Linked DNA regions of Mytilus edulis. The protein of the gene in region 2 purifies or fractionates together with the protein of the main gene of each other region. This does not show direct contact. Links are inferred from orthologs where the notes say so. Each region holds a gene or a part of one and is shown on either strand. Other genes may lie near its edges.

Evidence for each region.
Region 1: the proteins of pescadillo homolog (region 2) and ribosome biogenesis protein wdr12-like purify together in Homo sapiens (co-immunoprecipitation; 7 studies listed by BioGRID and IntAct, counting the BioPlex papers as one, with this or other methods). This does not show direct contact. The link is inferred for Mytilus edulis from reciprocal best matches to the Homo sapiens genes PES1 and WDR12.
Region 3: the proteins of pescadillo homolog (region 2) and nucleolar complex protein 3 homolog purify together in Homo sapiens (affinity purification with mass spectrometry; 3 studies listed by BioGRID and IntAct, counting the BioPlex papers as one, with this or other methods). This does not show direct contact. The link is inferred for Mytilus edulis from reciprocal best matches to the Homo sapiens genes PES1 and NOC3L.

Annotation. Positions count from the first base shown.
Region 1 is NC_092345.1:84,387,854-84,399,135, forward strand, and holds the start of ribosome biogenesis protein wdr12-like, read left to right. Parts: upstream 1-4,388; 5' UTR 4,389-4,459; coding exon 4,460-4,515; intron 4,516-6,314; coding exon 6,315-6,400; intron 6,401-7,675; coding exon 7,676-7,779; intron 7,780-8,388; coding exon 8,389-8,495; intron 8,496-10,046; coding exon 10,047-10,162; intron 10,163-11,282.
Region 2 is NC_092349.1:84,177,215-84,188,496, reverse strand, and holds the start of pescadillo homolog, read right to left. Parts: upstream 6,742-11,282; 5' UTR 6,739-6,741; coding exon 6,583-6,738; intron 1,139-6,582; coding exon 1,059-1,138; intron 1-1,058. Other genes in the region: metalloproteinase inhibitor 2-like, read right to left, coding at 9,774-9,914, 10,566-10,687. UniProt on the Homo sapiens protein: Component of the PeBoW complex, which is required for maturation of 28S and 5.8S ribosomal RNAs and formation of the 60S ribosome.
Region 3 is NC_092347.1:48,691,728-48,703,009, reverse strand, and holds the start of nucleolar complex protein 3 homolog, read right to left. Parts: upstream 6,069-11,282; 5' UTR 5,976-6,068; coding exon 5,961-5,975; intron 5,959-5,960; exon of another isoform or gene 5,788-5,958; coding exon of another isoform or gene 5,785-5,787; intron 1-5,784. UniProt on the Homo sapiens protein: May be required for adipogenesis.

The DNA.
Region 1 (11,282 bases), on a different chromosome or scaffold from region 2:
ACTTTTTATTATATTTTTGCCAAAAAAGCATTGTAAAATCTTTATTTTTGCAAAGTCATGATAAGAAAATTATATCTAAGGAAATATATATACCAATGACATACCTTAACTCATCAGATGGATACAAATAGAAACCCATTTAGGCTTCTTTTTTATTGAAAATAAGGAAATAGAAATTCAACGAAAATACACTTCGCCATCCATTGAAAAGTCCTCTTTACTTACTGTGACATCATAAAATTTTATCTATATCAAAGACCATCAAAAAACAAAACATGAAGATGCCAAAAATGCACTTTCTAAAATTGAAACATTTTAAAATGCTTTGGGAGCAATCATTTGACTTTAAGGAAGGAGGGTTATGAATTTTTGTCTGAGCTAAAAAAAAACACGCACTTTTTGTTTTGTTTTTTTTTGTTTTACGCTATCTACCTTTTATTTTAATTTAATACTGTATTAAAGATATGAGGGAAACCTGGATTTAGAATATGTTTTGGTGCGTTATCTGCTTAGTTATTGAGGTACAAGTCCCCTTGTTGAATCCTTAACTCATCTAGGTGATAGTACTTGATTTCGAGATTTTTTCCTTGTTTGAACCAAACACATTCAATATATGTATTTATATAAAAAAAGAAGATGTGGTATGATTGCCAATGAGACAACTGTCCACAAGAGACCAAAATGACACAGACATTAACAACTATAGGTCACCGTACGGCCTTCAACAATGAGCAAGGCAAATTTATGTATGTATCAGCATTGGAATCTTTTTACAGATTTCTAAAAACTCGTACAGCTAGGATACCAGGCTTATGTGTTACTGTGGGCATCAGTTGTACTCATTGGATATCAGACTTGTCTCTTAATTGTTTTGAATACCATGTATGATCAATGTCATGAAGGGTTTCTCTGAATTTTATTTGTATGGTGAGTTTGATAACTTGATGAGATGGCCGTTGCGTACGCCCTTGTGATATTTTTGCTTTGAATAATTTTAAAACTGCATAGTTGCATGTGCTGTGGACGTTTAGCCAAGTGGGCTTGTTTTGAACAATTCTGATATGGATAGCAAAGGGTGAATGTCCTTTTTTTGAATTTACAAATTTGGGTTTCGCGTTTAAGCTCTCTGTAGGAATTTACAATGTGGGAACGATTATTACAGATACCGGTGGACAGCAAACGAGTTCGAAAAAAGACATGCACAAGGAGACGTGATTTATTAGAGACACATATCGTTTTGAGTATAATTGAAAATATAGAAAAGGACACTTATTGTTGGTTAAATTGGATTTATTGGGGTTAACATTAGATTGTTGGTGATTTGGATTTTCGCCTATCTCACGACCCCCTATAATGGGTATTCGAATATTGAAGGTTTTTTTCTTCTCAATATTGTCCCATATGTATTTCGATACAAAATTATCACCCATTTATATATTTCTCAGTAAGAGTTAGACATCCAGAGACATGTCACATGCTTGAGATCGTAGAGACATGTCACATATTTGAGATCATAGAGACATGTTACATGCTTGAGATCGTAATTGCATTTGTACAGACATTTTTCCATATGAAATACTACCTCAATAATGTATTTGACATATAAAAAGTTAACCATTCCAGCGACATGTCAGTGTGTTTTTAGTGTTTATATATAAAGTCCCCCTCCAAAAACAAAATAAGACAAAATAACAACTATGGAAACATACGATACAGCCGAAAAGGGCTGCCACTAAAAGTGCACAACCAAGGCTTCTATAAAAGAGTACGGAATCAATAGGTGTTGATAGGAATACATACACCATAGGAATACATACACCATAGGAATACATACACCATAGGAATACATACACCATCGGAATACATACACCATAGGAATACATACACCATCGGAATACATACACCATCGGAATACATACACCATAGGAATACATACACCATAGGAATACATACACCATAGGAATACATACACCATAGAAATACATACACCATAGGAATACATACACCATAGGAATACATACACCATAGGAATACAGACACCATAGGAATACATACACCATAGGAATACATACACCATCGGAATACATACACCATAGGAATACATGAATACACCATAAGAATACATACACCATAGGAATACATACACCATTCGACTGTCACAGTACCTGCTCTTTGGTCGGGTTGTTGTCTCTTTGACATTTGATATTCCCCATTTCCATTCTCAATTTTAACATATCGAAGTTCATTATTGTCGAAAACTAGTAATATATGTGTCAAAGAGAACATTTACAGTTTTACTGAATCGTATCGAAGTATTTCTACTAGCATGTTTAACCTTTTCCTTACAGAAAGATGCTTTATATTTATATGCAAGTTGCAGCAGATCGAGTCATATCATTTATTCAACAACAAAATCTATTGCCGAGATGATCTTCTATTTTTCAAAATCTATATGAGTATCAATTTTGTATTCATGCTGGGACCAAAGATTTGTATACTATAGAAGCTTTACGATACAATTCCTGCTGAAACTAAAAGGCCTACAGTGAATTATTACTTTTTCTGGAGAAAAAAAATGAAATGAAAATTCGATGAAATTGCATCAAGGCATCTTATGAAAAGTATATAAAAATTATTTAAGGCGGATCCCTACAGATATAGCAAATTTTTTTTCACCATTGAATTTTTCTTAAAATTTGCATACATATACTATGCAATGGCCTCTATGAAAATTTGAGTTAAAAATAGTATGTCACCAGACTCGTTTCCATGGTAACGGTCACCAAAGTTGGCACATCACGTGTATGCATAAATACATACCTGATGTAGAAACTCTGGATTTTTTTTTAAGCCTTTGAAAGTATTTTGAAAGGTTTGTTCTTCATTTATTACAAAATTATTATTTAAAATGTAAATAAAACACAAATAATGGCAGTTTTATTCATTTTCATTGATTTCGGCTCTAATTTCATCAACACTGCTCCACAAAAAAAACACAGATTTTGTTAAAAATTTCTATTTTTCTTAAATTTCCAAAAAAATGGTCCAATGAATATTTTTTTAAATTTGACATAAGATGGTCATAACAATGAGCTTTAAAAAGAAATAAAAAAAAATATGGGTCACCAGACTATTTTTTGCCCGAAAAACGTTTTTGTGACCCCTAACGAAACAGTGATCAACAGCAGTTTTTTTATATCTTTCATCATCGGTGTGACATATGTTGTCATATCCTTTGTTAAACTAACACAGAATAATACAGTTTCACAAGGCAATCAAATGAGAACAATTTTTTGGTTTCTATGAACAACGGTTACCATGGCAACAGGACATGAAGTTGGAAAATTCAAGTTTTTGCATTGTTCTGATGTGCAAGATTAACAACCTAACAGACAAGATATTGTATAAAAAAAAGAGAAAATGTAAAAACTTTATTCTAAAGTAGAGCAAGGATTTGTATAGTATCACTATACAAATCCTTGCGTAGAGTATAACTTGATTGTTATAGAAATCTCAGGTACAAATAATTTTAAAAAGAACTACAAAATTCAATTTTCAATTTTATAGAGTGGGGTGCCCATATTCGCCGGGGACACAATTTCACCGTTATATGATTTTGGGGTGTAAAAACTTCAAAGGATGGCTGAAATGAAGAAATATGCCGGTGAATTATATTTTTATAACAAACATGATTATTTTTTAATCTGAGACAAAATTTTGGCAATTACCGCAAAGGACCGAAAAATAGACAACGATTTTCGGCTGATTTCCTGAATGAAAAACATGGTTTCAAAGAAGCATTTCAAAGTAATTCTTTGACTTGATTGCCCTAAATTTCAGTTCATTACACCTTTGAAATGTCTGCTATTCATCTATAATGACATTGATTTGATAAACATTGTTTAAAGTTATTTGGTTTTAAATAGATGTGTAAAAACGGCGAATATGTGTCCCCCATCGACAAAACATCAAGAAATTTCAAACACCCTTTAGTCTCACTTTTAAGATGATTATTTTCAAACAAACACGTTTTCAAGCTTAAAAATATTTTGCATTGGAAGTAATCTTCATATAGAAATATCAGTTTACTTCAAAAACATATAGACCGGAACATAAACTGTAGAAAACATCGAAAGATATGGCGAAAATGAGCACCCCACTCTACAAATAATTTTAAAAAGAACTACAAAATTCAATTTTCAATTTTAATAAAATTGAAAATTGAATTTTGTAGTTCTTTTTAAAATTATTTGTACCTGAGATTTCTAACAACCAAGTATTTATATAGTGAACACATATATAAGATCGTATAACCAGAGACATACAACAGTAATCACAGGTTGTACGAAATTTTATCATTTATTTTGAGGAAAGACGGTAATAATACCACTCGTTCGGAACTTCTCTGACGTTATTAGTTTATGAAAGATTTCCGACTATCTCCCCACATGTTGATAAAATGGAAACAAACAACATACCACATGTCCAAGCCAGATTCTTTACAAAACAACCTCAGTAATATGTTTAATCAATTTATTAGTTAAAATTATTTTCCTAATGTCAAACCTAAAGAGGGTGTACTCCAGAAGTACCCGTTTAAAACCGATAATTCGATTGATTTTCCAAGCTCAGCATCAAGATAAGTCAGATATTAGTCAAACAAATTTATTTTCTTCTTTATAACTGTTAGGATGCCAAGAAAATATCATCACAATTTCTCAGGAGAGTTTTTCCCTGAACAACACCTATCAGCAAGGGCAGTTCTTTCAGAAAGCAGAAATCAGAAACTCATTTTAATTTATGCTCCTTTCAAGAGCATACATAGAAACTCCCCTTGAAATATGTTTTTAATTTACAGAGGGTTCCCAAAAATAGAGCATTGCACCATTTGAAAATTGCATTTTACTTTGATTTTAAGCTTAGAATACTAGAAAAGAAGGTTAAAAGGAAGGACTGTTTGCAATGTATCTTGGGTACATCGAATGGCATTAGTTCCCCCTTTAATAACATAAATAAAGTCCCATGGAAATTATGCATTAAAATCTTCATTGTAATGTGTAGTATGAAAAAAATGCCGACAAGATTCCAGAGACAACAGTTTGGGGTATTGTGTCATTTTAACTAGATATATTGCACATTTGACCTCAAAATTTTCTTTGATATCTTGGATTTCCAATTTAATTCAAGATAATACTAGATTTATTTCACTTGACTGGGCGGGGTTTAAGAAGTTTGCTCATTTAAGACCAGTCCATCTATGGACAGGAGTTTTGGGACTCATCAATGAAGTGTCCAGTTATTTTTCGCATACCACACACTCAGTTCTTTAGTACAAAATGTATATGTGTTTGATGACACTGATAGGTGATTAGAATTCAATACTAATTATAACGGCAATCATCCTTATCACACACATCTTTAAATAGATTGTCCTTATGCAAATTAAAACATAAGCTCCGCCTGATCAGTTGAAATAACATTGGTAAAACAACTTACCGGTAATGAAGATCATGTTTTTTGTTGGCTCTTACAGTTTTATGATTTTTAGAACCAAGATAATGTCTGAAAGATCTGGACCTAGATTTGTTTTTTTAACAATATTGTTTTATAAATGTTTTATGAGTTGAAATACCAGAGATAATCGGTTGATAACTATTTTCCTGAACAACAACAATTAAACATTGTACTAGTGTAAGAAGTCACATACCTGCCAACTTTTCAAAATGACCATGGGGTTTTTGCGTGCAAGGTGGCTCATATAGTCCTACAAAACCTTCAAGGGGGCCTTCAAATACATTTTGATGTTGGTTTTGGGCTTTTGCATACTTTTAAAAGCCTTTAGCTATTGTAAAAGTCATTGTTTTGTTTAAAATTGTTAACAAATTTGCTCTTTCAAAATTTCCATTTGGGAGCTTCCATGGGGGAAATCCCCCACAAATAGTGACAGTTGGCAGGAAAACCCTTCTAAGTTGAGAAGCTTGAGATGGAGAATTTTTAACTAAGAGATAAAAAAATTGAAAAATAGAGATACATTAAACTTAGCATAAGATGTGAACTTTTTATTTGTTTTCTTTGTTGATTACTACATGTACCAGTGTTTATCTATTGGTAATCAGTGTTTTATATTTATCAGGATTTACATGTTATTTCTTTTTCTTTGTCAGCAGATAGTAAAATCATTAAAGAAAGAATGTACCATAATATTTAGTCAACAGTATTGTTGCATTAAATTATTAGTCGCTGAATGAAAAAAGTCAGAATAAACCAACAAAGAAATCCATTTCCACTTCATTTTGAATTTTAATATTTTTTAGGTTTTCAGTTCCATCTGCACCATTTTCAGTTCAAGCACAAGTTGGAACATGTGACCTGAGTTCATTAATAAACAGTCTATTGAATGGTTTGTATGCTTTTCAACCTTAAAATATAGAGCATAGTTGATCTTTAAAAGGAGTAAAGTAAATTCTGATGAAAAAGTTTAAAAGTGCTTAATATAATTTTTTTTGTTTTGCTTCTAAGTTAGTGCAGAAAAAATATTTGTATTGAATAAGAAGAGCAGCTAAATTGAGAGTATGTTAACATTGAATATGTGCATGTATGTAACATAGATTCTAATGCAATTTGGATGTTACAATTTTTTTCATTGGCTAAAAATTGCCGTCAAATCCACAGTTGACCAGGCGTAACTAAGGAGGGACCGCCATTTTGAATTGATTGAATCAACAAATGTTCGTTTACTTCTATATAATCGAAAATAAAAACAACACCTACCTCGAATTTGCCGTTTTAATGTAATTTTATCCGAATTTGAAGCGTACAGGTAATGTAATAAACTCCAGTTTGAAAGTTTTTATTTATACGATGCACGTTAAGCCATGACGTCTTTGTGCCAAAATCATTCATGAAGTTTCGCAGATTTTTTTCTTTTTGTCAAATTTAGACATTTTGTCAAGTTTTATTGTATTTTTTTCTTTTTGTAATGCATTAGAATCGGAATAACAGTACTGTAGTTGAAGAGTTGCCACCGTCAATTTTGATTTGACGGTCGCAAATCTCCGTTTTACTGTCTCCGCTACGCGTCGCCAGTAAAACTGCATTTGCGACCATCAAATCTACAATTGACGGTGGCAACTCTTCAACTACAGTACTGTTATTCCTTAAATCTACCTTCATTTAAATATATCCTGTAACTTTGATAATCACAAAATAAAATTGCATGGAAGTGGTCTGAAAGGGCTGAATTCGAAATAAAGTATCTGGGAAAATAAGTTGGTTTACAGTATAATAATATTATATAACTTGAGTTGATATCAAGCCATATCCAGTTCTCAATTGTTATAAGACCTTTAAGGTACCCAACACCTTTACTAAAATTAATTTGACTCGTTTAATTTTCATAAAATTTTGACAAAGTATTTACTTTGACCCTTTAACAAAAATATAAAAATTTCAAAATATTTGAACCAAACGTTTTATCAGGAAAATTACACTGGTTATATAGCAGTTTGACAAACACACATTTTGATCATTGAGAAGCTTAATATTCCCTTAACAACACAACGTAATTAAAACGTTTAGCTGATTCTACAGAGTTATCTCCCTGTAGTGTTAGGTACCACCTTAATTAAATTATTTTTTAATTAAATAATTTTGTATTGATCGTTTTCAATTTCAGAGGGCGATGGTGAGAAGACAAATGTTGATTTTGATTTTTTAATTGATGGAGAATTTCTGCGACTAAACTTAGATAAGCATCTAGAAAACAAAGGCATATCAACAGTAAGTGTTTTTAAGACATTTTAGTACAAGTACAGAATGAGTGCCACTGGTCCAGGTTTATATATCTATTAAATGCCTTTTAAAGAAAAATATACGTACACTTCAGGCTCAAACAATCATAAAATTGGTTTATGTTCATTGTTCACTTTGGAAATAGACGACTGATTGAGATCAAAAGACAATTTGAATAAATCTTTGATTATTGTTGAATTAATAATATTGACTATGATGGAGAAAATGCTAAATAAGTTTTTTGTTTTCTGCTGAGAACCTGTCTGTACAGGAATTTTTACCTAGAAATCAACACAACAAAACAGATTAAATTTGACAAATACCAGAGCTGACCATAAGGTGTTTTTATATAGAAATTGGATCCTCTGTTTTATAAACTGACATGTATTGGATATGGGGAACAAGGTGCTACACTATTGGTTATTGCTGTATCCATTTTAATGTGTTTTGATTACTAAATAATGTTTTCTGATAAAAATCCTTTCTATAAATAATTGTTTTTAAAAAAAAATATCACAACTCATTCATGGTGATTTTTGGCTTATATTCACACACATATACATCCCTTTTAAAACAATTTATTATTTCTATATTAAGGAGTCATTGGTTGATATAGAATACATTGAAAAACAACAAGCTCCAGAACCAGAAGACTCACTAGTACATGATGACTGGGTCAGTTGTATACAGGGCTGTAAAGATTGGTAAGTATAAATGTAACCATGGAAATACAACAGTGTCTATGGTAAGGTATCAGGACTGTTAATCTTTGAGGAATTCCTGCTTCCTGCCTACTGAAGGCCAACTAAACCAATAAAAAAAAAATCCTGTTTCAACTTTTCAAATAAATAAAACTTGAAAAAAAATCTGAATTCTCAGTATTTGGCCATCCACATAGCAAGGGTTAAGAAGATTGAAAAATGAGATCAGTATTGTATTGCATGTGAAATTTAAATGGTTCTGTTTTATTTAGTTGCACATTTTGCTATACTGTGAAAGTACTTTAATTCGTGGGTATCAATTTTCGTGGTTTGAGGAACATTTACGTGGGTTTTTAAATTTGTGGATTTAAGTTTTCTATGAAAAAAAAATTTGTAAAATTGAAGCCATTAGAAACAAAGGTTACAAGTTGTCTGGATTGAAGGAAATGCAAAGTAAACATTGACCTGTCTAAATTGTTGTGACCCGGCACACTAATTAATCCTAGATAGAGTGATCAACAGATTAAAGATCAAATTAAAGGTGTTGATTAGGTCATTACCATGTCAGCTAAAGAAAACAATTACATAAACAAATGCTTTAAGCGTATCTTGAATTGTAAAATATTTTTTATCAAAAGCCAGCCCAGCATGAAATTTTTATTTCCTGTATGTACGAGAGTTATGAGTAATCATAGCATAACAAAACCAGAAATCTGTCTTTCATCGATCAAAATATTGTTTTATTTGATTTAAAAGATAAAAAATTGTACAGTTAAGGTTTTAAAGATTAAATGGATCTAATCCTGCCTGCAGTTGTAGTTCATAGTGCATTTGCCTTGTGACAACTATAATAGTATTCTTAGATTTGGCGATGTTCAATATGTTCTCTAGATCATATCAGAAGTGAAACCTACATGGGGATATTTCCATATCTTGATTTTGACAATGGTTGGGTTTTTTTTCATTGGACACTTAAATTCGTGAATAAAGTCATCCACGAAAACCACGAAAATTGGTTCCCCATGAACAAAAGTACTTTCACAGTAAAAATAACTTAAAACGCTTGAATGTTGGTGAGAAGTTTTAAAGATTTCTTTTAAAAAAAAGTATATTTGTAAAAACTACATCTTTTTCCTGACCAGGTATAGCCACAGGCTGATCTAGATTTTGAAAAGGGGGGATTGGGAAGCTAGTTTTGGGGCTTTCCAATCCCCCTTTTTCAAAATCTAGATCAGCCCGTGGCTATACCAGGTCAGGAAAAAGATGTTTATTGCCCTGTTATATTTTTAATCATCAATGATGACTAGGCAATCAGTAATATCCATCCATGTTATACTTTTAAGAAAATTAAGAATACATCAAGTCATATGTATGTAAAGCAGGAAGAAATAAAAGTTTTTTTTTTAGCCAATTTTTTTTTTTTGAGATCTTTTTAATTGGTCGTAGAACTAAACGATCTCTTCCATAGTTAAATTGGTTAAAGTAGATATGTGACCTGTGTGATATTGCTTATTTTAAATTGTCACCCTATAGTATGCATTCTTTGAATTTCAGCATTTTGTCTGGGTGCTATGACAACACAGTTAGACTCTGGTCAGTTAAAGGTAGTCCATTTTTGACGATCCCAGGCCACTCAGCACCTGTCAAATGTGTTCAATGGATAACAGATGGTAAGAATATGATATAATTTACCATCACAAATATGGTATCTATAACAATTCATACTTAATAAGGCAGCTATTACGGTAAGTAAAGGGGTTAAATAACAAATGAGTAGTTGGTATTAGATTAATGTAAAAAGTTCACTATTGAACAGAGTTCGCGAAATCTTTTTTTCCCTGGTGGTCCTTGAAGAAAATCTGCAGGTCCTCAATATTAATTCCATTCAAAAAAACTAAAATTTAGTCAGTCCTTAGCCAAATTTTGGTGGTAAAATCCTGAGGACAACCACTTTTCGCGAAAAAGTATTGAAGGCAGAAGAGATTAGCAATCCATTAATATTTAGATTACAAAGTTTCCAACCTGGTATTTTTGGTATCTCTATATTTTCGATGGAGTGCTTTGATTGTTGTCATGGTCTATTGTACCTTGCAGTATTTTTGCCTTCTCCTATATATCAATTTTTTGTTGAAGTGTACTGAAAAGAGGAGTTTGTTTGACTTATTTAACAACCACAAATGTAAATTCTCTGTGAAAATCATCAGTATTGCAGACACCCGTATCACATTACTGAAGCATTTTATCACAAATTGTTTTGTAATATTTTAAACATATTCAGATGCAAATGAAATCAAAGAGCAGATTGCTCTGAGGGATACGATTGCCATTGTTTTCATTGACACATGTATACATGTAGCTGGATAATATTATTTTCAAAACTAATTCAACTGCACATGTAAAATATAATTTACGTTATCTGAATAGTTACAAAATAGCCAATCCCGGATACAAGTGTATGAACAATGTACTTATTGTGTTTTATTTTTGTACTATCAATTCCAAGTTTACTTTCCACAGCAGTCACTGAGACTCAAAGTGAGAGAAGGTATTTCACTTCGTATCTTATCACCTATTTTCCTACATTAATTCTAGGAGGAACCCCATTCCTAACTCTTTAAATATTTAATTTCCTTTGGTTCAGTGGGCATGACTCCTGTCCATACACATTCCTCGGTTTAAATTGTGATCGTTTTTGATATAATACAACGTTTATTGACAGAATGAGTTTATTTTTCTCGACGTGTCATATCGTATTTTGATTCAGAATTGACAGAAGTTACTTCCGGAAGG
Region 2 (11,282 bases):
TTTGTTGCTGTGTTACATATTTTTTTTATATTTTCGGCTCGCTAATTTTCATTATGCTTCTATATAATCATGATAATTAAGATTTGTCTGTCTTTTTTTAGAATTCCCCATCTTTCAGTGGATTGTTATCATGTTTATATAAATGGGGATCATTTAATTAAAACAAATTCCTGATTGCAATCAGTCTTTTACACATGATCATTTCATAATGCATGACATGTTGGGTTTCTTTTTCTACCAATATTGTTTATATTTTTCGATATTAGGTGGGCCATATAGTTTAGGTGGTCAGAGTGGTAGAAGTACATTAGCCATTCTTCTGACAACTAGCATCATCATGATCATTCATATTGTTTAATCAAAGATCGCTAGCAGTATGAACTTTCATATGTTTTTCATTATTTTTATTGAAGTGTTTTTAAAAAATGTAGCAATGGAAATGGTTTGAGTAATTAAGTTTTTTTAAATTAAAGGGAAACAAAAATGTGTCATTTGCATTATTACAGAATGCAACATGTTTCAAACCGGATTTTTCCTGAAATTTTTAATTGCATGTTTGTGTTGATTTCCCCCCTTATCTTCAATATCCTCTATATAAATCATGAGTAGATGAGAGGCCATGTTGTTATGTTGATTTTTGTTGGTTTAAGAGAATTTGTTATGCTGATTTTTGTTGGTTTAAGAGATTCTCGTGTACTTTTTAATCCTTGGCCTTAATTTTCAGGGTTTAAGTTTTCCTGAAGGTATATCCTGAAAAGCAATAATGAAGCATCACATTTATAAGTACAATTTTCATTATATACATTTTACAACAGAAAAAAACATTTTTACATAAAAAAAGGCCGTTAGTTTTCTCGTTTGAATTGGTTTACATTGTCATTTTGGGGGCATTTATAGCTGACTATACAGTATGGGCATTGCTCATTGTTGAAGGCCGTACCGTGACCTATAATTGTTAATTTCTGTGTTATTTTAGTCTATTGTGGAGAGTTGTCTCATTGGCAATCATATCACATCTTCTTTTTTTATAAATCCAAACCTGTAAATTACACACATACCTAAAATCTGCTAAGTTGAGTTGTAACTTTTTAATAGCTTGATTCCTTGACATGTAGGCTGTTGCTGAACCACTTTCATACTGAAATTAAATAATACATGTTAATCAATTGACTATTCCACGTGTCGGCATTACTACATACATGTAATCTAGGTTTATGAAATACACTTAGTAGTTACCATGCTTCCAATCTCCAATCCTACAGTCAGGAGTACTACATTTGTTCTTGTACAAGTAATCTTTATTTACTTAAAGATGTAAATAAAATATACTTATATAACACTGTATAACATGTATAACAGTATTACTTGATTATAACGTTTGAATAATCCACCCTTAATTTTCTCAAAAATTTACTTGTATAAGTAAGTCATTTGTAAGTTTTGAGATGTAAAAACATGCCTTTAACAATTGTTTTCATGTGAGCTCATAATTTTCTATTGGAGTACAATGTTTCATCTCATTAATTCAACAAAGAAACTGATTGGGCAAAGATCTTAAGTATTTGCCAAGGCCTTAAAAATTGCACCATGGGGGCTTGTGTTCTGAGGATTACAGACAAATGAGATTTTCATTGTCCATGAAATAACACTTACATGATTAGTACATGTAGTAAAGAAATCTGAAAAGGACATGAAGGACAAATAATTAAAATTCTATTTGAACAAAGAAGTCCTAAGAATTCAAGAAAAGAAGATAGGATAACTTTTTTACTATTATAAGTAAAAAAATCAGAATGTCTTTTTTAAAAGGGACATAACTCAGCCCAATTTTTTGTTTACCTAAACAAGTAAATAAAATACACTTGTATAAGTATCCTACAAATTTACTTATATAGGTATATTAATATTTACTTCTTCAAGTAAATAAAAATTACTTGTACAATTAGTACCCCTGACTGTCCTATACATATTTAAACAATAAATACATGTAGCACGCTTAAGATAAGAGATAGTGGTGACTGGTGAAACAGGAAAACTTTCAAAATAATTGACATCTATCAAGTCTATAGCAAAAAAATTAAAGTGACCACACCTAAAATGACTTACATGACTTATACTCCAGAGAAGCTGCATATTTTTGTAATTACGCAATTGAAACAACAGAAAACTCAATTCAATTGTCCTTCTCTGCATTAACCCTTTCAACGCTATACACGGCATATGCCGCGATGACGTACGCCATTTCCCACTGATATTCGCAGCATATGCTGCAATGACAAAGGATTTTTCATAAGGACTCTTAAACCATTCTGTTTTCATTTGGGTTCTCCCTTATTTTTTACTCGTTTGAATCAAGGATATACAAAGTCTCATTTGCGACTGAAATCCTGGCAATTTTTATTGTAAAATCATGCAGTAGAAGGAAAATAAAAATATTTTGACAAATGCAAATGGCGGAAATCGGAAACGAAGCTGTAAATATGGAAATATTTCAGCATTTCTATGGCGAAACTAACGAGGATTAGTTAAAAGGTTTCTTTTTATCTCAATGTAATTATAACATTTAATTCGTGTGGGAAATATGATTTGATCGATCATTACGAGACGTAGAAAAAGGGGGGAGAACGGAGGTTGACTGAAATTTTTTAGGACATATCCATTTCTTTGTGCCACGATTACATAAAACATTGTGTATGGTGCAATACGCTACGGAATCGAGCAACTGGTGTCTTCTTTGTCATATGGCAGATAAAACAACAAAATAAATGAAGACTAAAAGTAGTTTTTATTCAAAATTCAATACAAATGTAATAAATTACACCTTTTACCTGTTACAGTGATTTTCCTGGTGTTTAGGGGAAGGTTCCTGGGGCCCATGCAATTGGGAAAAATATGATTGGTCTTTACGACGGAGGGCACACGGCATAAGTCGTGTGCGCCTTGCTTGGGGGGTTTGGGGGCATGCCCCCCAAGAAAATTTTGAAAATTAGGTGCAAAATCCTGCATTCTGAGAAGGATTAACTGCATGAATTGCCTACAAAATAAGCTATCTTTTTAAGGAAAAGGATTAAAAATAAAAGTTGAATGTGTCTGAGGACACATTTGCATGCACTCAAGCTTTGTAACTTTACTCTTGAAAGGTAAAATTCAACCTATCCCTTCTGATTCTATTTATAATGATGAGAATCTATAGAAATTCTAAAAAGACACATTTGAAATCTGAAGCATTTATTTTTTAGTTTTATTTAAAATTCCAAGTTTTCCTTCATGTTTATTTTTAAACATGTCAACTAGTTGTTCCAGTTCTGTATCTGAGAGTCGGTCTTTTCCTTCTTTCACTTGTTTCATCAGAAGGAAGTAGAAACGACTTTTTGAATCCAAAAGCTTCCAGCTTCCGGCATTTACTACCGTCCGCCGCCTTTAGCTTCTTTGTGTAATATTTGGAATTATGAGACATGATCTACGTTCATTTTGTTTACATTATGTCTCATTTTTTTGCTTTGTCATTGAATTATTCATTCGGATGTTTCAAGCGCAAACGTGACCAGAATATCGTAGATTGCAATGCAATCCAAAAAAGATTGCAAACCAATCATCGTCTTAAGTGAATGATAATGATAACTCCCGAAATACCCCGAACGCTCAGAGATTTGTCAACAAAATAATACACGATATAGAGATACGACAATAACAAAATCTCGCGACGATGTCCATATACGATTGGGAATTTTAGAGCTGAAAATTGGGAAAAAAAGAGCATATTTCTCTTTGGGAATGGGGCCGAAATTCGGCCCCAAAATGAGGGTTGGAAAATCACTGTAGTTAATTACCTGAAAATGCAGGTAACCTGATAAAAATTTCATTAAAGGGGCACTAGCTGTCAAATTCATTGTAACCGATTTGACTCAAATTCTCATATTTGGTTTATAACAATGTAAAACATTTATCCAAACTATAAAAAGTCTAAAATAAACAGTTTACAGAGCATGGGGTAGATAATATATAGGTTCGTTTCGTGTGTATTTTAGTCCAGACGCCATCTAATTAACTATCGATTTGACCTCAGATGACCATATAAGCGATGTAAACAAAAATAAAGATACGAATAGATTAAACCAACACGTGCAATTGCATTTTTATAGGTCTGTTTGATTTTATTTTATAGATTAAAAATAGATGTTTCTCATTGTTTTTAACCATATAAGAATGATTTTATGTGCATCGAATTAGTAATCAAATGATTTACTGTAGTTTCACTTTCATTGTTGACATTCTTTTTCTTTAAATAACCAGTACACGTACAATGCATGCGTTGTCAATCTCTAGCTAGGGGTTAACTTAAAGTTCACATGAATACCGGTTAGAATGATGATGACGTTTTCACTTGCAAGTGAATCAGTCAAAAATTATGTTTAATCGCTTATTTCAACAAAATTAAAGGAAATTGATTGCTAAAAGCAAATTATTATTTCATTATTCCAATTTGATTAATGATTGATCTAAAAAAAATCATACTTTATTTTTTTATATATATCGTAGCTAGTGCCCCTTTAAAATAATTCCCTTACATTACAGTTCATGCTCTCCTGAGCATTTTTCATGCAATAACTTTCTCTGTATCTCATATAATAAAAAAGATACAGCAGCCTGAAAAAGAATATACTGTTCTAATGAATGAACACCAAAAAATTGCAGCAGCAGCAGCCATTTTTCTATTTTTTTGTGTAGCGTTGAAAGGGTTAAAAAACTCATTTCATTCAAAGGAGAACCAAACTATTTATTAAAACTATGCATTCACAATCCCATAAGTCGCTGGCAAATGCACTATTAAACATAATTTATGTTTGCGTAATTTATAAAAAAAATAATTGTTGTGTAATTTATAAACATGATAAATTTATTTTTTTGTAATCTTAAGAAAATCTCTTAAATATGCACCAATCAAAAAGACTTGTTACCACTTTTTTTTACAAATTTCATCTATCAGGATTCAAATATATGTTACCAAATTTTATGAACTAGTTATTTTAATTTATTCATTATTTAATAATTCTGGGGTCGATCAATGTAGGACAAATTGACTTTGGCAAATAATGGGGCCAGATAGTCTTGGGGCTGGACAGGTTTTGGGATGGAACAACTTGATACCTTACAGATCCCAGGTAACATGGCTCAAAGCAATGGACATTTGAGCGCATTGACAGGACATTTGAGCGAGAAAAAAAAAGGACGTTTGAGCGCCAAAGTATAGGACATTTGAGCGCCTAAATTTTAGGACATTTGAGCGAAAATAAGAATAAGCGTAGGACATTTGAGCGAAAACAAGTCTTGGATAGAGAATTGTCTTATTGGCAATCATACCACATTTTCTTACGAATATAGTTCATTAAATGAGGAGTTTACCAACAAAAAGATTAAAACATATTTTAATTGTAAAAAACAAAGCACTAAAAACAAAGCACAGTCATAAAACAGGAGTTTACCAACAAAAAGATTAAAACATCTTTTAATTGTAAACAAAGCACTAAAAACAAAGCACTGTCATAAAACATAAAACTCGGCAACTCCTTTTAGTGTTTTGTCCACTCTATATCGGAAACTGTCACAAACAAGGCTTCTTTTTCCCTTATTAGTCTCGGTCAAAATAATATCCATTTTAACACGTACATGTATTATTAGTATTAAGATTTCAAGTGCCAAGGGACATTTCACTTAATAGATATATATATAAGAATTTTAGAACAAAGAAAATTTGCATAGCCAATGAATTATAGTAGAATTGATTGGTAAATAGAGATCAACTTAGGATTTCACTTACATAAACCAGCCAGAACCGGTCGAATTACTCGGGTGTGAAATAAAATAAAAAATATTTATAACTAAATCTTACTTTTTTTTCTTACTTTTAAAAAAAAATCTTAATTCGTGTAAAATTATCAGGGAAAATTTCGCTCAAATGTCCTGTCTGAAAACTCAGGTAAGGTTAATATCCCGGCGCTCAAATGTCCTATGAAGTCGGCGCTCAAATGACCCTATGTGCTTTTTTCTTTTTCGCTCAAATGTCCTATGCCCTTTTTTATTGAAGAGTTGTCTCATTGACAATCATACAATGTATATACCACATCTACTTAGTTTTATATTTATATCCACATTATAAGTATAAAACCTGGATCTCCTGTAGTTGGTGATCCCAATACTGGTATACCAGTATTGTCCACAATACTGGTATAAAAAATTTGTACCAGTATTGTACCAGTATTGTGCTTTTTTTAAATAAACAATATAGGTAATTAATCTTTTGTTAAGGGTGTCACATATATAAATGCATAATGAAATTAACATATGACATGACAATTTTATTAGGAATGATTGTGTTTAACTGATGATGCCATAGATGGTACACTATGATTGTCATCAAATAAAGTTTTAAATCTTCTGATGTTTTTTTCTTAACCTTTCTGTCTCAGCATTTTAACAAGATCTGTACTTTCTTCTATGTTACCGTTTTAGACGCACACGCTCTAACATCTTTTTTTTATTTAGACAAACAAACCTAAATATTGACTCTATGCTCATACGTACCTTCTTTTTCTTCTCTCCAACCATTTTTAGTCTTCTAAAACACTGCAGCACGTGTTTGATGTCAACACTGTTTTCAAGTTCCGGTAAAAGGGAGGTAATGGGGATGTAACTAAAAACCAAAAGTTTATTTCTCTTTCGTTGTACAATAACGGTCATTAACGCTCAAGTGGCAGACACCAATCAAAGTCCTGGATAGCACCTGTTGAAAGTTTGCAACGGTATATGTGTATTTTTTCGGAAAGGTTATAGATGTGTTTTATTTCAAATATGTATTAAATCACAGTCTCATAGCTTTGATGTTTTTTACTAAACAATTAGTCAGCCTTATCAAAGATCATTTTTTCTATATATGTTTGTCATGTAAAATTTTTATACTTTCTAAACTGTAGATTAAGAATAATCAAATATATCGAAATCTCTGTTAATTTCTTTATGTGTCCATCCCATGTCAATGGCCTGTGAGTTTAGCATATTTTATTGATTTGGGTCCTTCATACTTGTTTTTAGTAAATCATTTGTTTGTTACTATAATTATAATCTGTAAGTCTTCTTGTTTTGAATTATTCCACATTTTTCATATCAGGGCCTTTTATAGCTTACTTCTAATGTGAGTTTTTCTCATTTTGATGACCTTACGGTAACCTATATTATTTTATATATCTTCCTCCTTTGCACTCCGGCTTTTGGATAGCTGGTTCATTCGCAAAAAATACCACATCTCTTATTTTAATTAAGACAACAAACTAAAATCAATACAACTATAGTGAATTTATATGAAACGCTTTAAACAACAATGGCAATATGTAGACATGAATAAATAGTAACTGACAAGTTTGATGGCGCATACCCTTCTCTATAAGTATATATTATAGTGTTATTAACTGGCTGTTTCTGTTTCTGTATTGGCATTGGTATAGATTCAAGGTTTGCCGTATTGGCCTAGAGACCCGTAGGGTCGTGGGCCAATACAGCTGACCGAAAATCTATACCAGTACCAATACAGAAACAGCCAGTTCATAACACTTTTATTAAATGATTATAAGAAAATTAAAAACCGGAAATGAACTTCCCGTATTAGCCCATGGACCAATACGGCTTTTCCCCAGCTTTTTTTTGTATTGACCCTGTTTTTCCCGTTTCAAAACTTTAAGACGTTACAAAACATTGCACATCATTTAACCTGTTTATTTTATGATTTTAATTTAAAAAATATTATAAAGTTAAGTAATGGCGTTAGAAAATTGAAAACCAGAAGTGAACGTGGCTAATACGGCTTTTCCCCCTATTTTTTTCTGTATTGGCTCTGTTCGAAGAGCAATATTAAATCTTGGTTTATATCGACAGTGGAACGTTTTCAGTATTGCACATGCTGATTTATCCGTATTAGGGCTTATTTGCTCATATCATTTAATAATTAAATATATAACCTTGGTTGTTTTCCTTCATTCAAATTGGATTAATACTGACTTGAAACTGAAGTCAGATCTATATCCAAAGTATAAAAACTTACAGAGCCTAATGGTCGGTATAGTTTAAAAGCAGCTGTAAACGTTCTCTGTTTTTATGGTTTTGAAGAAACAACTACATGCAATATATCAGTCCCTTGTAAGCAATCTTTTATATATTTTGTGTAAGGTTGAAGGCAAGCGCCATGCGAAATGATCCAATGGCTTGAGTATTGCTACATATGAAAGACAAACCGACTCGCATAATCTAGCTCTGGTTAATAACTGTTTTCAATAAATAGTCCAGTCGCTTATTTATCGAAATGTAACAAGTTGTGTGTTCTGGGGAGGTAAATTGCATACAGGGGAAAATGCACGAAAAGATCATTTTGTGCATAAAATTGGTCCAAAATGGATTGACATTCAACTGCCTTCCCTTAAAGGCCAGATAATTTACAGCCCTGTCATTAACGTTTTCACAAAAGATCAATTTCTATTATTTTGTAAAATAATTAGCACAGACTTTGTCACAGTATTCACAGGACATCCTTATGAACAGTTTTTAAATAAGTGTTTCAGTTTTAAAACCCATACAGTTAATTTGTTCAAAATAAAAACGTTTGAATTGATTTTTTTAAAGCGACAGTTTTTATGTCTCGTTCATCGTTAGAAAACTAAATTTTCTGTTTAGAATAACAACGGATAACTTGTTCCGTTCTCAGTAGTTATTAGCATGATTCGTAATAGATAACCAAGTTTTGATTGGGTTCGTGTTTCTTAGTCTAAAGTTGTCTATGCTATGTTTTGTGTACTGTAATTGTCTGTTTGTATTTTATTTTTAAGCTATGACAATGCCAGTTTATTTTCGACTAATGAGTTTGAATATCCGTTTGTTATCTTTCGCCTTCCTTTAAGTGGGTTTTATTATACTGACATTTATACACCACAAGGTTCCAGATATATTTTGATTTGTATTGTCTGCTTCTGAATTTGGTCTTGATTGTATCACGTGAATATAACAACAAGATGGTGTGGTTTAATTACCAATAAGAGACAAACTTTCACAAAAGTCCAAAGGGCGAAAAACAAAACTGAATGTCACCATACTACCTTCTTTAATAAGCAAATCAAATTCCAGATAGTAAGCTATATGGGTGCCACATGGTAAGTAGGACATGCTTACAAGGGACGGATCGAGCTATTTTAAAAAGGGGGTTCCCAACCCAGGATAAAAGGGGGGGGGGTCCAACAATATGTCCCCATTCAAATTCAATGATCGTTATTAAAAAGGGGGGTTCAAACCCCTGGACACCCCATGGATCTGCCAATGCTTACCCTGTAGGAGCACTTTTCGTATTGCTCAATCTTTAATTTTCTATTTTGTGTTTTGTATGCTGTTGTTTGTTTTTCAGGTGTTTATCATTTTTGTAATGGCATTGTCAGTTCGTTTTTCACTTCTCTTCTGCAAAAGGTTCCAGGATTACAAAATGTACAAGAATTCAAAAGAGAAAAATTACTCAGAGTGTTATAAACACGCGTAAAGTGTATTGAAATCGACATTTAATGTGCAGGTCAAATTTCGTCGACTAACAACTATATATCTATCATGTGTATCTTTTCTATACCTATGTAAATTATATGGTTTATTGAGAATAACGATAGAATCTTTCGTCATTCATAAATTTTTATTAAAAAAACCAAACTCAAAATAAACAAAAAGACTGACTATACACATGTATTGTACAGCTATGAACATTGTTCATCATTCTTCCATTCACACGTGCCGCCTTGTGCTCTTCTGCATATGGCGGTCTTACGGTAACACTCTTTCGAACTGTTTGACAGTTTACAACTCCTTGGCGTCGATGCATCACCCTCTTCAAGAACCTACAGAAAGATGATTTAATCAAATAAGTCATAGAGTAAGTTACATTGATTCAATTAAGCCGATGCCCATGCTCACCGTCGCATTTGCTTATATGTCACCGGGATACATTTTCTAGAGGTGCATGTCTTCATCCAGTATGAAAACACACCCGGTTTATCTAATTGAAGCAAAACATTATAATGATGCATGTCAAATTTATATATATAAACTTTACACATTTTATTGATCAATCTCTTGAACAAAGTCGGGGTGGCAATTACATTTAAATGTGGGTGATTTAATCTAGTTGCAGTTTTGTTATTATTATTACTAATGAATTCAAATTAGTATATAATATGATCATAATATATGAGATTTAATATATTTGTAACACTTTCTTTCATTTTAGCTGAAATAGGTCATGCACTGATAGATATTTATTGTTAGAGAATGTACTGCATATTTGTAATTGGCTAATAAATATTTTTGACATTGATACGAACTTATCATAAAACAATGTATTAGAATTGCCCTCATTTGTTAAAGCAGTCATACATATGAATTTAGTTAACGTTTGCCAATTTCAAAAATATATACACTAAATAATATTTGCCATGCACAATTTATATACCCCTACTCAGTAAACTTTTAATAGTCACACATTTGCATACCTTGCATCTACAATTTCTAATGTAAGAGTTTCTTCCCCTTGTCAGGAGATACACCCAGTTTTCAAATGTCCTAGGAATAAGCGTGTTGCAAATTCTGGTTGTGTTTTCACCTCTCGAGCTCCCTGAAAATAACAAAAATCAAAGAAATAATTTATCCGTATCGAATCGTTCAATTAAGCGAGCTGTCTCTTTCCAGCTTCCACACTGTTTACTCGTCAAATAATATTCATCTGACTCTGACTGTACTGCGTACAAGTTTGAATTACATTATAAGCTGTCCCTTTATAACAGTTCCATGTGTCTGAGAACAGATCTATGTACGTAACGATTAATCTTCTATGTACTACAATGTTTGATTCCCGAGGATGACTTTGGAATATATATATAATCACTTATGTTGTCGCCCGACAGGCAGTACAAACAATTGAAAATTGTGGTGTCCGACTGGCCGTTTAAGAAGTACAAGTTCACAGCTATGTAAACCATTACTAAGAAAATTGTGCATCACTATCCAATATAGTGTTTTCGTCCTGAACATGCATGAACTATTTTCCACTGGATTTTAAGCAACCATCAATAATTTTAATCTAATAATTTGTCTATTGAAAGTTAATTTGGATGATTTCTTGTAATGCAGATGTTTGTTAAATTGAATTCAATAAAATATAAAAGTAAGTGTGTGAAAAAACGATTGTAAAAGGTAAAATCACAAAAATA
Region 3 (11,282 bases), on a different chromosome or scaffold from region 2:
ATGTCAAATAAAAATACACCGGTTTCGTCATTGTTGTTTACTACACAACACCCGGTTTCGTCTATATATGTCACCCGGTTTTTTTATATTTTTTTTAAACCAACAATTTATGAAAAGCAACGTTAACACGGATCTGAACATTGTCTTTCGAAAGAATTTAAATATATATGCATTATAAAGTAAACTTGGCGTGTTTACATTTATTTACATAGGTAATTATAGTACTACACATTTTCCTAATGAAAGTCGTATCCGTTATTTCACTGATCTTCAAACTAATTTTAAATGGAATATAAATACTCAATAGCAAACACTGATATCTAATTATTTTTATAACATTAACATTATGATATTTTTTTTTAAATAGGTTTTGAGATACATCGCAGTATGTGACCCCCCTTTTTTTTTTACAAAAAAAACCTAATTAACGCTTAAAAACAAAATTTAAAACATCACCTTAAAGTATGCAGAAGTTAAGATTTATATTACTAAGAAGTGTGTAAAGTTTGATGCAATAATGATTAACCATATTGAGATATGGCGCGACATGTTAAAAAAAACACTCCTGTTTTACTTACAAAGTTCTGTAACTCAAAAAGATTTAATTTGATTTTCACTAAAAGGTTTACAAATCGTTTGACCATTTCAAGAAATAACTTTGTTAAGTTTCATGAAAACTAGATAAGCTGTTCTCAAGTTACGGTGCGACATGTTTACGCTGGACAGAAAGATAGACGGATAGCTAGACGGACGGACGGACGGACGGACCAAATGACTGATAGATGAAGGAACGGACGGATGGAAGGACAGATGGACAGACGGGTGTATACAATAATACGTCCTGTCAAAATTGGGATGGGCGTGTAAAAACGCAAAGAAATGAAAAAAAATTCGTAATAAAAGGTCAATAAGTTTTATTAGGATATCGGCCAAGTCGATTTATTTGTATATTTGTCTGCCTTATCATTTTCCTATATAACTTTTATATATATTTGAGAAAAATGTATAGAAATCGATAAAAAGAACTTGATATTCGGCATTTATTATAATAAACATAATCCGATTTCCCGGGTGTCCCTGTTTTCTCATTTCTTACAATATTTTAATTCGTTATACACTTTATAAGATAAGTGGCGAATCTAGATGACGTATAGGTTGCACGCCCCGAACCCACCTTCGGTTGCCAAAACTATATTGATTCCTGTATTTAACGATTTTGTAAAGCAAAAAATAATCAAAATATTGTTCGACTCGCTACGCTCGGCGGTATGTACAAGTTGTTCGAAATCGCCTACTTTGAAATAAACTGAATCCGTCTGTCCGTATACATTGTCAAAATATATTGACCAACGTCAGTGTACGATCATCATAACACAATGGCGACAGTACAGACTCGTTTTTTTTAATAATGTTAACAAAATAATTATTATTGAATTTTATCGATGACCTGAGACTATTATACTAATTTGTACATAGCAGTATAGTTACAATTAGTGATAAATACATTTTATTTTAATGCATGGTAGTTGTAATCCTACATTCTATGTCGATTATGCATGCATATACATTTGTCATCAACGTTTATCCTTAAGAAGATTTATTTTTTAACGATGGTAGAAAAGATTACATACATGGAATGATTAGATTACTTATAAAGGTGTCCATTCTTTTGTGCGAGAAAATCACATATCAATTGTGTGTTTCTATTTTTAAGACCCGTAACCTTTAATTTCAAGTTTAAACATGTTCAACATATTTTCCCATAACTCATATAGAAAACGCATATTTAAAGAGCTTTAATCTCAATATGCTGTTAAAAAAGTTCGGAATGCAAAGTAAAATTAAAATATTTGAGTTCTATAAGAGTAGGAATTTGCTTATTATTTATTTTAATCTGAGACTCATATAAATAATAAGCCGCTGTCCGGTGAACGAACTTGTTTTCGAACGACCCACAAAACTCCTTTTGAACTCTGAAATTAAATAATCAATTATAATGTAATGCGATTATGATTTTTTTTATTTGACCAAACCGGGTTATGCATTTTGAAATTTATGACGAAACCGGGTTGTATACATTGACGAAACCGGCCAGTTCCATTTTAGCATGACCCATTTCTTTCGTTCCATACACAGAGTTACAATTATTGAGATGCTCATAATAACTATATTTGCAATCTCCGTGTCAATATCTATCTTCCCGTACCTGTCTTTCCGTACAATGTGAACAATTTAAAGAGAAATTAAACAATTTCGAGGCAAGGTTCACTCAATTCGTCATTTTGACATGCATTTTGACTTATTTCTCCGTTAATATAGAACGGTTGTAGAAAATATTGCATCTCACAATAGAAAATAGTTGTATATGTATATATATTCTTCGATATCATTAAAAAAATAAGAAAATAAGGAGAAACCTATCTTTCTTCTGTCTATTGATGTTCCGTCATTGTACCGGACGTTAGATACCATCGAGTCCGATCAAATTCTGCCGGTGTGGTTTAGACACAGTGTACTAAGATTTACGAAAAAATGGTTAAAAATTGACTATAAAGGTCAATAACTCCTTCAGGGGTCAACTGATCATTTTAGTCATGTTGACTTATTTGTAAATCTTATTTTGCTGAACATTATTGCTGTTTACAGTTTATCTCTATCTATAATAATATTCAAGATAATAGCCAAAAACAGCAAAAATTCCCAAAAATTACCAGTTCAGGGGCAGCAACCCAATATCGGGTTGTCGCATTCATTTGAAAATTTGAGGGCAGATAGATCTTGACCTGATAAACAATATTACCCCATGTCAGATTTGCTCTAAATGCTTTGGTTTTTGAGTTATAAGCCAAAAACTGCATTTTACCCCTATGTTCTATTTTTAGCCATGGCGGCCATCTTGGTTGGTTGGCCGGGTCACGCCACACATTTTTTAAACTAGATACCCCAATGATGATTGTAACCAAGTTTGGTTTAATTTGGCTCAGTAGTGTCAGAGGAGAAGATTTTTGTAAAAGTTAACGACGACGGACGACGGACGACAGACGACGGACGACGATGACGACGGACGACGGACGCCAAGTGATGGGAAAAGCTCACTTGGCCCTTCGGGCCAGGTGAGCTAAAAAGACTGTTTAACCGTTTAGTGGTTTTGGTATTCAGTCATTCGAACGGTTAACCGGTTAGCCAGTTAACCGTTGACAACACTAAATAATAGTAAACATCTATAATACTTATATTATCTAAGAAACAAACTTTACTAGAAAACTTAACATTGACCAATAAAATAGGTCAAGGTCAGATGATACCTACCAGACAGACTTATGCACCTTACAATCATTCATTACACCTTATATATTTGACCTTTTGATTATAGTTTAATGAAATCAGGCCAAAACATAAAACTTAAAACTGAGCAATGAAGTATGAAAATGATATAAAATATTTCCATACACCAAATATAGTTGCATTAGTACAACCACACATAGAATATGGAAACACAATATAGTATCCACATTTGAGGAAAGATATTAATGCAGTAGAATTCTGGATATACATGCAAGACATTTAGGGTATGAATTGAAGAAAGATTAAAAGAACTTAAACTTTCATCTTAACAAAAGGTGAAGAGATTATATGATACAAGCTTTTAAAATTATTAAACGAATTGAAGATACATCTTACTGTTATCAAGACAAATACCTGTGGACATTCATGTTATTGGAAATTAGCGAAATCTAGATGTAATATTTCTTTTCCTTCAAGACATTTTTCACAACATAATATAAATGATTGAACCTACAAGTTTATTTTTTTTCTTCAAAAACTGTGTAAGAAAGCTTTTAAAATAAGTACAATGTATAGACCATCATTGGCAGTCCGTTATATATCAGTTCTTTTCCTTCTTCATTAGTAACAGAATACCATCAACCTTTATAGGATTAATTTCCAGGGCATGCCTGTATGAGTTCTTTTTGAGCTAATTTCAATTTTTCTTTTATTTATTTATGAAATTTATAATTTTTTGAGTTTTGATTTTTACAGTTTTTATATATATATATATTTTTTATAATAAGATGTAACAATAAGCATATTTAGTTTAGGTGAGAGAATGTTTGAAGGTGCACTTCATGAGGGAGTGCATCCTTTAAGTTGTTTAAGGTATCCAGTGTTAATTTATTCCGATCTTTGATTGTTTGGCTGAAGAATGAAAATTTAAACATGTTAAAGCTGTCTTAGTTACATTGAAGTTGTCTTTCTGTTAACAATGGTTAACTGATGGGTGGATCTTGTTTTAGACTGGCTTTTTCTGAGTTTATCTTCGATGGTATTGCAATTTTATTGTTGAAGACTGTGAGGAACATTGGGAGTCTGGTTTTTAAGATGTTTAACCTGCATTCTTGTAAAGTTTGCCATTTTAGATTTTCTAGCATTTCAGGGACCCTGCTGGTATCATGGGCATTGTGATATAGGGTGCTAAAGAGATTTTACGTGCAACAAATTCAGCCTTTTTATTTCACATGTGTTTCGTGCTTTGATGTTGTTTTTTTGTTTTCTTTTGTTTGGTTTGATGTGTGTGCTTTGTATTTCCCTTTATTTATTTTTCGTGTTACTTGTAATTTCTTGTGCTTGTCCTGAAAATGATTAAAAAGTAAACCAGAGACTAATACAAAAACAGCCCAGATGTTAATATTGTTCTATTCATTAATACATGTAGATATAGCAATGTATAGGAAGATGTGGTGTGAGTGCCAATGAGACAACTCTCCATCCAAATAACAATTTATAAAAGTAAACCATTATATATGTCAAAGTAAGGCCTTCAACACGCATAAAAAGCCTATTCCTCAACACGAAATAGTGGATGCTAAAAGGTGGCCACAGGGGTCTCCATGTCCATTAATAATAACATCATGATCTCAAAGAACGGCGCAGTAATAGCTTTTGTTACTTTTTTCTCTTAATAAGGGGACGATTTCCCCTATAACAGAAGAAAAATCAATAAAAAAAAATATTTTTAAATATATAATTTTCAATGTACTCAAAACTTTTTTATTTTCCCACATTTGGGCAGAAATCTCTGTCTTTTTTCCAGTCTCATTTGTCATAAGACTTTGAGCAACAGCAGAGAAAACATCGGGAACGTTATGTCATTTACGTTTCATTTCAAACATTAAAATCAGTCCAAATAATTATGACGTCTGGCAAGGCTATTTCATTTTTTTTCTGGGACACCTTCCTATGACGTCATAACGCTGAAACCATTTTTTATGTCTGGACTTTGAGAGCAAATATTGAGCGGACTTTGCAACCTAATTTTTTACATCCAAAACTTGCTCTCAAACTCCAGGTGGAAAAAATGGCTTCAGTGTTATGACGTCGTTGGAAGGTGTCCCAGAAAAATATTAAAATTAGCCTTGCCAGACTTCATAATTATTTGGACTACATTAAAATATGTTAGAATTAAAAAATAGTAATTGATATGGACTTTGTCCCCTTTCACACGTAATGCAGCCTCATATTATTTATCTGTAACTATAGTTTGCTAACTATTTTTATGCTCTTTCTTTTACTTATTTTAATTCATTTCTAGATTTCGTCAGGTCAATGATATAATTTTTGATGAAGACATAAAGTTTTTTAATTTTAATTGTGTTAAACATTGCACCAAACTTTGCCAAACCATGTACAGGATTGATGTGTAAATCAGTTTTAAGAGTGTACCAAAATAGGGAGGGCTAAAAAGGAAAGGATCCTTCCATAATATGATCCCCACAACGATCTTACCATGTTACAGGCCACTTGTTGACGGAAAGTTATATAGATAGATGGAAAGCGATGGACTTAGTTAGACCAAACGACAGTGTTTTTCGGGGGCTAATTAAAAGTCTTGAGTTTAGAAGCGGATGACGGACGCCAAATGACATGCTGGTCAATTTTGTGAATTAACACGTGAAACTTACTCCTTTCATTTTCATTTCGAAATTTTCAATGTAGATTTTGATTTTTTACAAAGAACTTGTTTTTCATTCATTATAATCGTTTCTCAGATACAGATTTTAATAAACATTAACATACAGACCGTTCTCGGTTTGATAATATTCTTTTCCGTGTCTTGTTCGCTGGCAAAAATCTCGACTTTAACAAACTCACTACACTAACTTCGGGCAACCATTGGGGCATTGGGGAACCATTAAATTAAATTCAAGGAGGGTAATTCTTTTTTTTTTATCCCCAATTCGATGACAAAAATACAAAAAAAAAATTCAGTTTCCACAACAAACTGACTCAGAAATTAATCATGCTATACCCCCCCTTTAAAGTTAAATGGAATGACAGACCAAAATCAGTCATTGATTGGAAAATGCAATCTATAAAAATATCAAGTGAACGGCAATATTTAATGACCTGAGTGGAAACAATAGTTTTCAGTCATAATCTTTAATATATGCTAGTAACAAAACTACAGACTGCAGGATCACATCTATGGAAAAAATAAAAATGCATGCAATGAGGCTATAACGATCTTTAACGAACAATAACAAATCAATAAGATGTAAACAACAAAATAGTTCTCTAAAATTAGATATGTTTCATATTTCTTTACTGCAAGCTATTTTTAAAATTTAGTTTTGGACTCTTTGGACCTTAATGTGGACCAATCATTCCCAAATCCGTCAAAAAATGTAAATCACGATAAATTTAATATTCAGCATATCAAAGAACACCAAGAATTCATTTTTTTAAATCAAAGATAGAATGTATTTTGAACCCTTTGGACCTTAATGCATATGTATTAAACCAATTTGAGGACATGCCTCAAAAAAAAAAAAAAAAAACAAGAATGTGTTACTAGTACATGCCCCATCCGCAGTATCATTTTTATGTTCAATGGACCGTAAAATGGGTATAAAAGCTCTGGTTTGGCATTAACATTAGAAAGATCTTATCATAGGAACATTTACACTAAGTTTGATTTTAAGTTGATTGGACTTCAACTTCATCAAAAACTACCTCGACCAAAAACTTTAACCTGAAGCGAGACAGATGAACGGACGCACATCCAGCAAACATTCTAATTTTTAAAGAAATCAAACAAATATATAAAAAAAGATCATGTGGTCTTATTGCCAATGATGAAACTCTTCACAAGAGACCAACTGACACAAAAATTTACAAATATCGGTCACCGTACGGTACGTGGCTTTCAACAATGAGCAAGGCCCATACCCTATTTTAACATATAAAAGTTTAACTTTGGACTCTTTGGACCTTAAGGGAACAACCAATGTCCATTTAACTTCAAAGGGGGCTGATGGTTTTTCCTAAAAAGATATTCTGGTCCCCAATTTGATTAAAAAAATATGCTCAAGTAGATAACAAAAAAAAAACCATTCTAAATTCGATTTATGCACGGGTGTTAAATTTCGAGAGAAAAAATAATTTGATTGAAAGCGTGGAAAAATTACATAAATTATTGGGGATTTTTTTTTTTGCGGACTTAGAAGAAAAATGATTCCCACCCTTGAAAGCAAATGGTTGCTCCTTAATATGAATAATTTCAAAATCAAATTCTTAAATCCGAATTTCAAATGCCCAATTAGATTCAGCATGAAAACGCTTCCAAGAATTCAAGACTTTTGAAGTAAATCCCATTTAAATTGCTTAAAAACAAACTAATTTATTCAAAGTATATGTTTTGGTCCTTATTAACAAAAGTAATTTAAAATCAATTTTAATTTCATTTAAGGTTCATGTGGACCCTATGTCTAAAATGGCCGTATTTTCACCTCAAAATTTTCTCTGAGTATAGGCAAACCTGTGCATCTGGAAAAGTTTTAAGGCATAGCATGCCCTAGATAAATAGAATTCAAATGCATTGTATGATTTAGAAAATTCATAACTTAACTGAATTTTGCCGTACACTTTTTTTCGTCTCTGCAGAAGATGATAAAATTAACAATCAGTTGAGTTTACTTTGATATGGTCCACTCAGGTACACAGTTTAAATAACCAATTATTGTCAGGTATCTATTGTCCTCTAATGTCCATGTCAATTAAAAACGCTCACTTTAATTTTTACCTGTGGGGAAGTTCTCAAACCTGTTTCCCAACTTAGTTTATTTTGGCACCTTCTGGAGGAATAAAAAAAAGTGCACAGCAAAATCCTGGTAAGTTTTTATTTTTCTAAAACATAAAACATACTTGAAAGTCATTTATCTAGGGCATGCTATGCCTGAATTTTTTTACAGATGCGCAGGTTTGTCTGTACTCAGAGAAAATTTTGAGGTGAAAATACGGCCATTTTAGCCATAGGGTCCACATGAACCTTAATGGTATAACACCTTGTGACACAATTAAATAGGAATGAATAGAATTATACTCACAAATCAGAAAATTCATGTTTTTGGTCGCTTTTCATGATCACCCCTTTTATAAATCGGTTTGGACCATTACCCTTAAATTTGATCTCATCTTTCCTCTTGAAGTATGGAACCTTATAGTAAAAGTCATAGAAATCCATATGCTAATACACAAATAAGGGAAATATGTACCAGATGATTAGGTTCACCTATTGTTTATAGTAATTCACGAAAAAAAACCCAGACCAACACACTAAATATTAACGTTCCATTGAGTATAAACAATGAAAATTAGTTCAAGGTCAGATGATACCTTCCAGACAGACATGTACAATTTATAATCATCCAAAATCCTTATAGTTGACATATTTAGTGCAAAGGGGTGGGTTGTTGTGTGTGTGTGGGGGGTGGGGGGTGGGGGGTCGATGAAATATATAAAAAAAAAAAGGAAAAATCAGCAATTGGCCAAATCAATGAAGGATGACATTTTATGTAAAAAAAAAAAAAAAAGGCAGGACCAAATAGAGTGAAAAATGAAAAATGCAGGACAATTTTTTTCATACTAGTCCTCCTAAAAATCAAATGGTAGCTTCCTTATAGTACTTGAAAAAACGGCCATACCACAATAACTTAACATTGACCAATGAACCATGGAATTAAGGTAAAGGTAAACCTGCCAGACTGACATGTACCCATAAAAGTCATTCCATTCACCACATATAGTTGACATAATGCTTTTTGCATTTGAAAAACGAAACTCTAACCTTGATCACTAATCCATGAAATAAGAGCATGGTCATTCGAATAGAACCATCTCTGACGACATGTATAGGTCGCAAGGAACCCAAAAACCAATTACGGTTATCTTATTCCTCATAATAAGTGAGAAATTCACATAAAAAAAGCTCTATTTTTTTTTCAAGCAATCGCTGAACCATGAAAATGAGGTCAAAAACCGAAGACATCATGACAGACGGAAACTTCGTAACATAAGCTATCTGCATACAAGATATGAATCATCTTCTACCTTCTGAAATATAAGGCTTTCATGATACAAATAGTTAATGCCGTCGCTGTCGGATAGTTCTGAATACCTATGTCTAGCATACTAGATAATTCGTTGCAGGCGAGACAAAAATATTTTCAAGTTTGCCTCAAAATAAGAAAACAAAAAAGAGTTTCTGCCAAAGTTTCAAAAATTCTGTTGGAAGTCTACTGAACTATGGAAAACATTACCCTAGGTACCTAAATGTTGCTGACAGAAATGAATGTAGATTGAATCTAGACCAAATTAGCATAGATCTTAAAACATCCTAGAAAAGATAAAAAAAAAAAAAAAAGCAACTGAGGTACGTCAACTTTGGGACACCTTCAAAAGTCAGCTCCAAAACACCATGAACACTTACATTCCAAAAAAAAACATTAGTTTGGGGAACAACACCCCATGGGTCAAACACTAAAAGAGAAACTTGAATGCAAAAGAAAAAAGCAGAGAACTAACATTCCAAAAAACACATAAGTTTGGGAAACAACACCCCATGGATCAAACACAAAAAGAGAAAAATGCAAAAGAAAAAAACAGAATTTACAAACAAGTCAGAAAAAAGCAAATGGTCAAACTATACGTCTTTCCAAAAATTAAGGAATGCAAGAAACAACTCAGGAAAGCAGGACATGAGTTTATAAACCAAAACATCTTTGAGAGCCTAAACATCAAAGACACAAAGCCTTTTCGGAAGTTTATTGAATTTAAACGCCAGGAATAGCACTATTAAAAAAGTGGACTAACCTCATCAGTGACAGTAAAGGAAAACACGAACTCCTTCTAGAACAATTCTAGTCCGTCTTCCCAACAACATCAGACACTAGCTTACCAACAACAAGAATGCGAGTAGAAATCAATAAAAACCAATAACGATTGTCCAAAAGTGACTTCAGGAAAACAACAAAAAAACACCAATCAATACAAAGCATCTGGACCTGAAAATATCCCAAACCGCATACTAAAGGACTGCTGAAAAACTAGCGACCTTTCTACAAATCATAATGCAATGCTCGCTAGACACAGGTGAACTACCAACAGACTGGAGAGATGCAAACATGTCCAGTATCCGCAAACCAGGTGCTCCGCAGGGCGCAGCTTTATACGATCACAGAAGTCGAAACCCTGAACAGTTGGGGCAAGTATGGAAACAACATTCAAGCTTGATAGAGCTCTGAATTTGGATTGCAATCAAATTTGACATAATATGAGTTTCTGACACAAAACAAATGTCAAGATCTTACAAATCTATTGCGCAATATTGTGCAATTAAAGATTTCTTCTTTTAACTTTTAAAAAATTTAGAATTTGAGAAATTTGAAAAAAATAATTAAAAACAACTACCACCACCCTTTTTTTGTTTCGATTAGTCCAAAACCTGACATTACTTTATACATAATATACAAGTAGTGTAAGGGAGGTAAATTCGAACATACCCAACATTGTATGTTAAATGTTTTAGAATTACCTCCCTTACACTGCTTTTACAAATTATCTTAATTGTCCATTGACCAGAAATACCTAGTTTTCCCCCTTTTTAAAATATTGCCCCTAATTTCGAAACATTTTGAGCCATAACCCCCCAAAGTCAATACTAACCATCCCTTCATGGTATGGAAACTTGTGGTTTAATTTCAGAGAGGTTCATACACTTAAACATAAGTTATTGTTTGAAAACTACAAAAATGATTATTTTGGGCCCCCTTTTGGTCCCTAATTCCTAAACTATTGGGATAATAATCCCCAAAATCAATCCCAATCTTCCTTTAGTGGTATTGAACCTTCTTGTACACAATTATAAAGATTCATACATTTAAAGACAAGTTATTGTCTGTAAACTAGAAAAATCCTTCTTTTTGTCCCTTTTTTTGGCCCCTTAT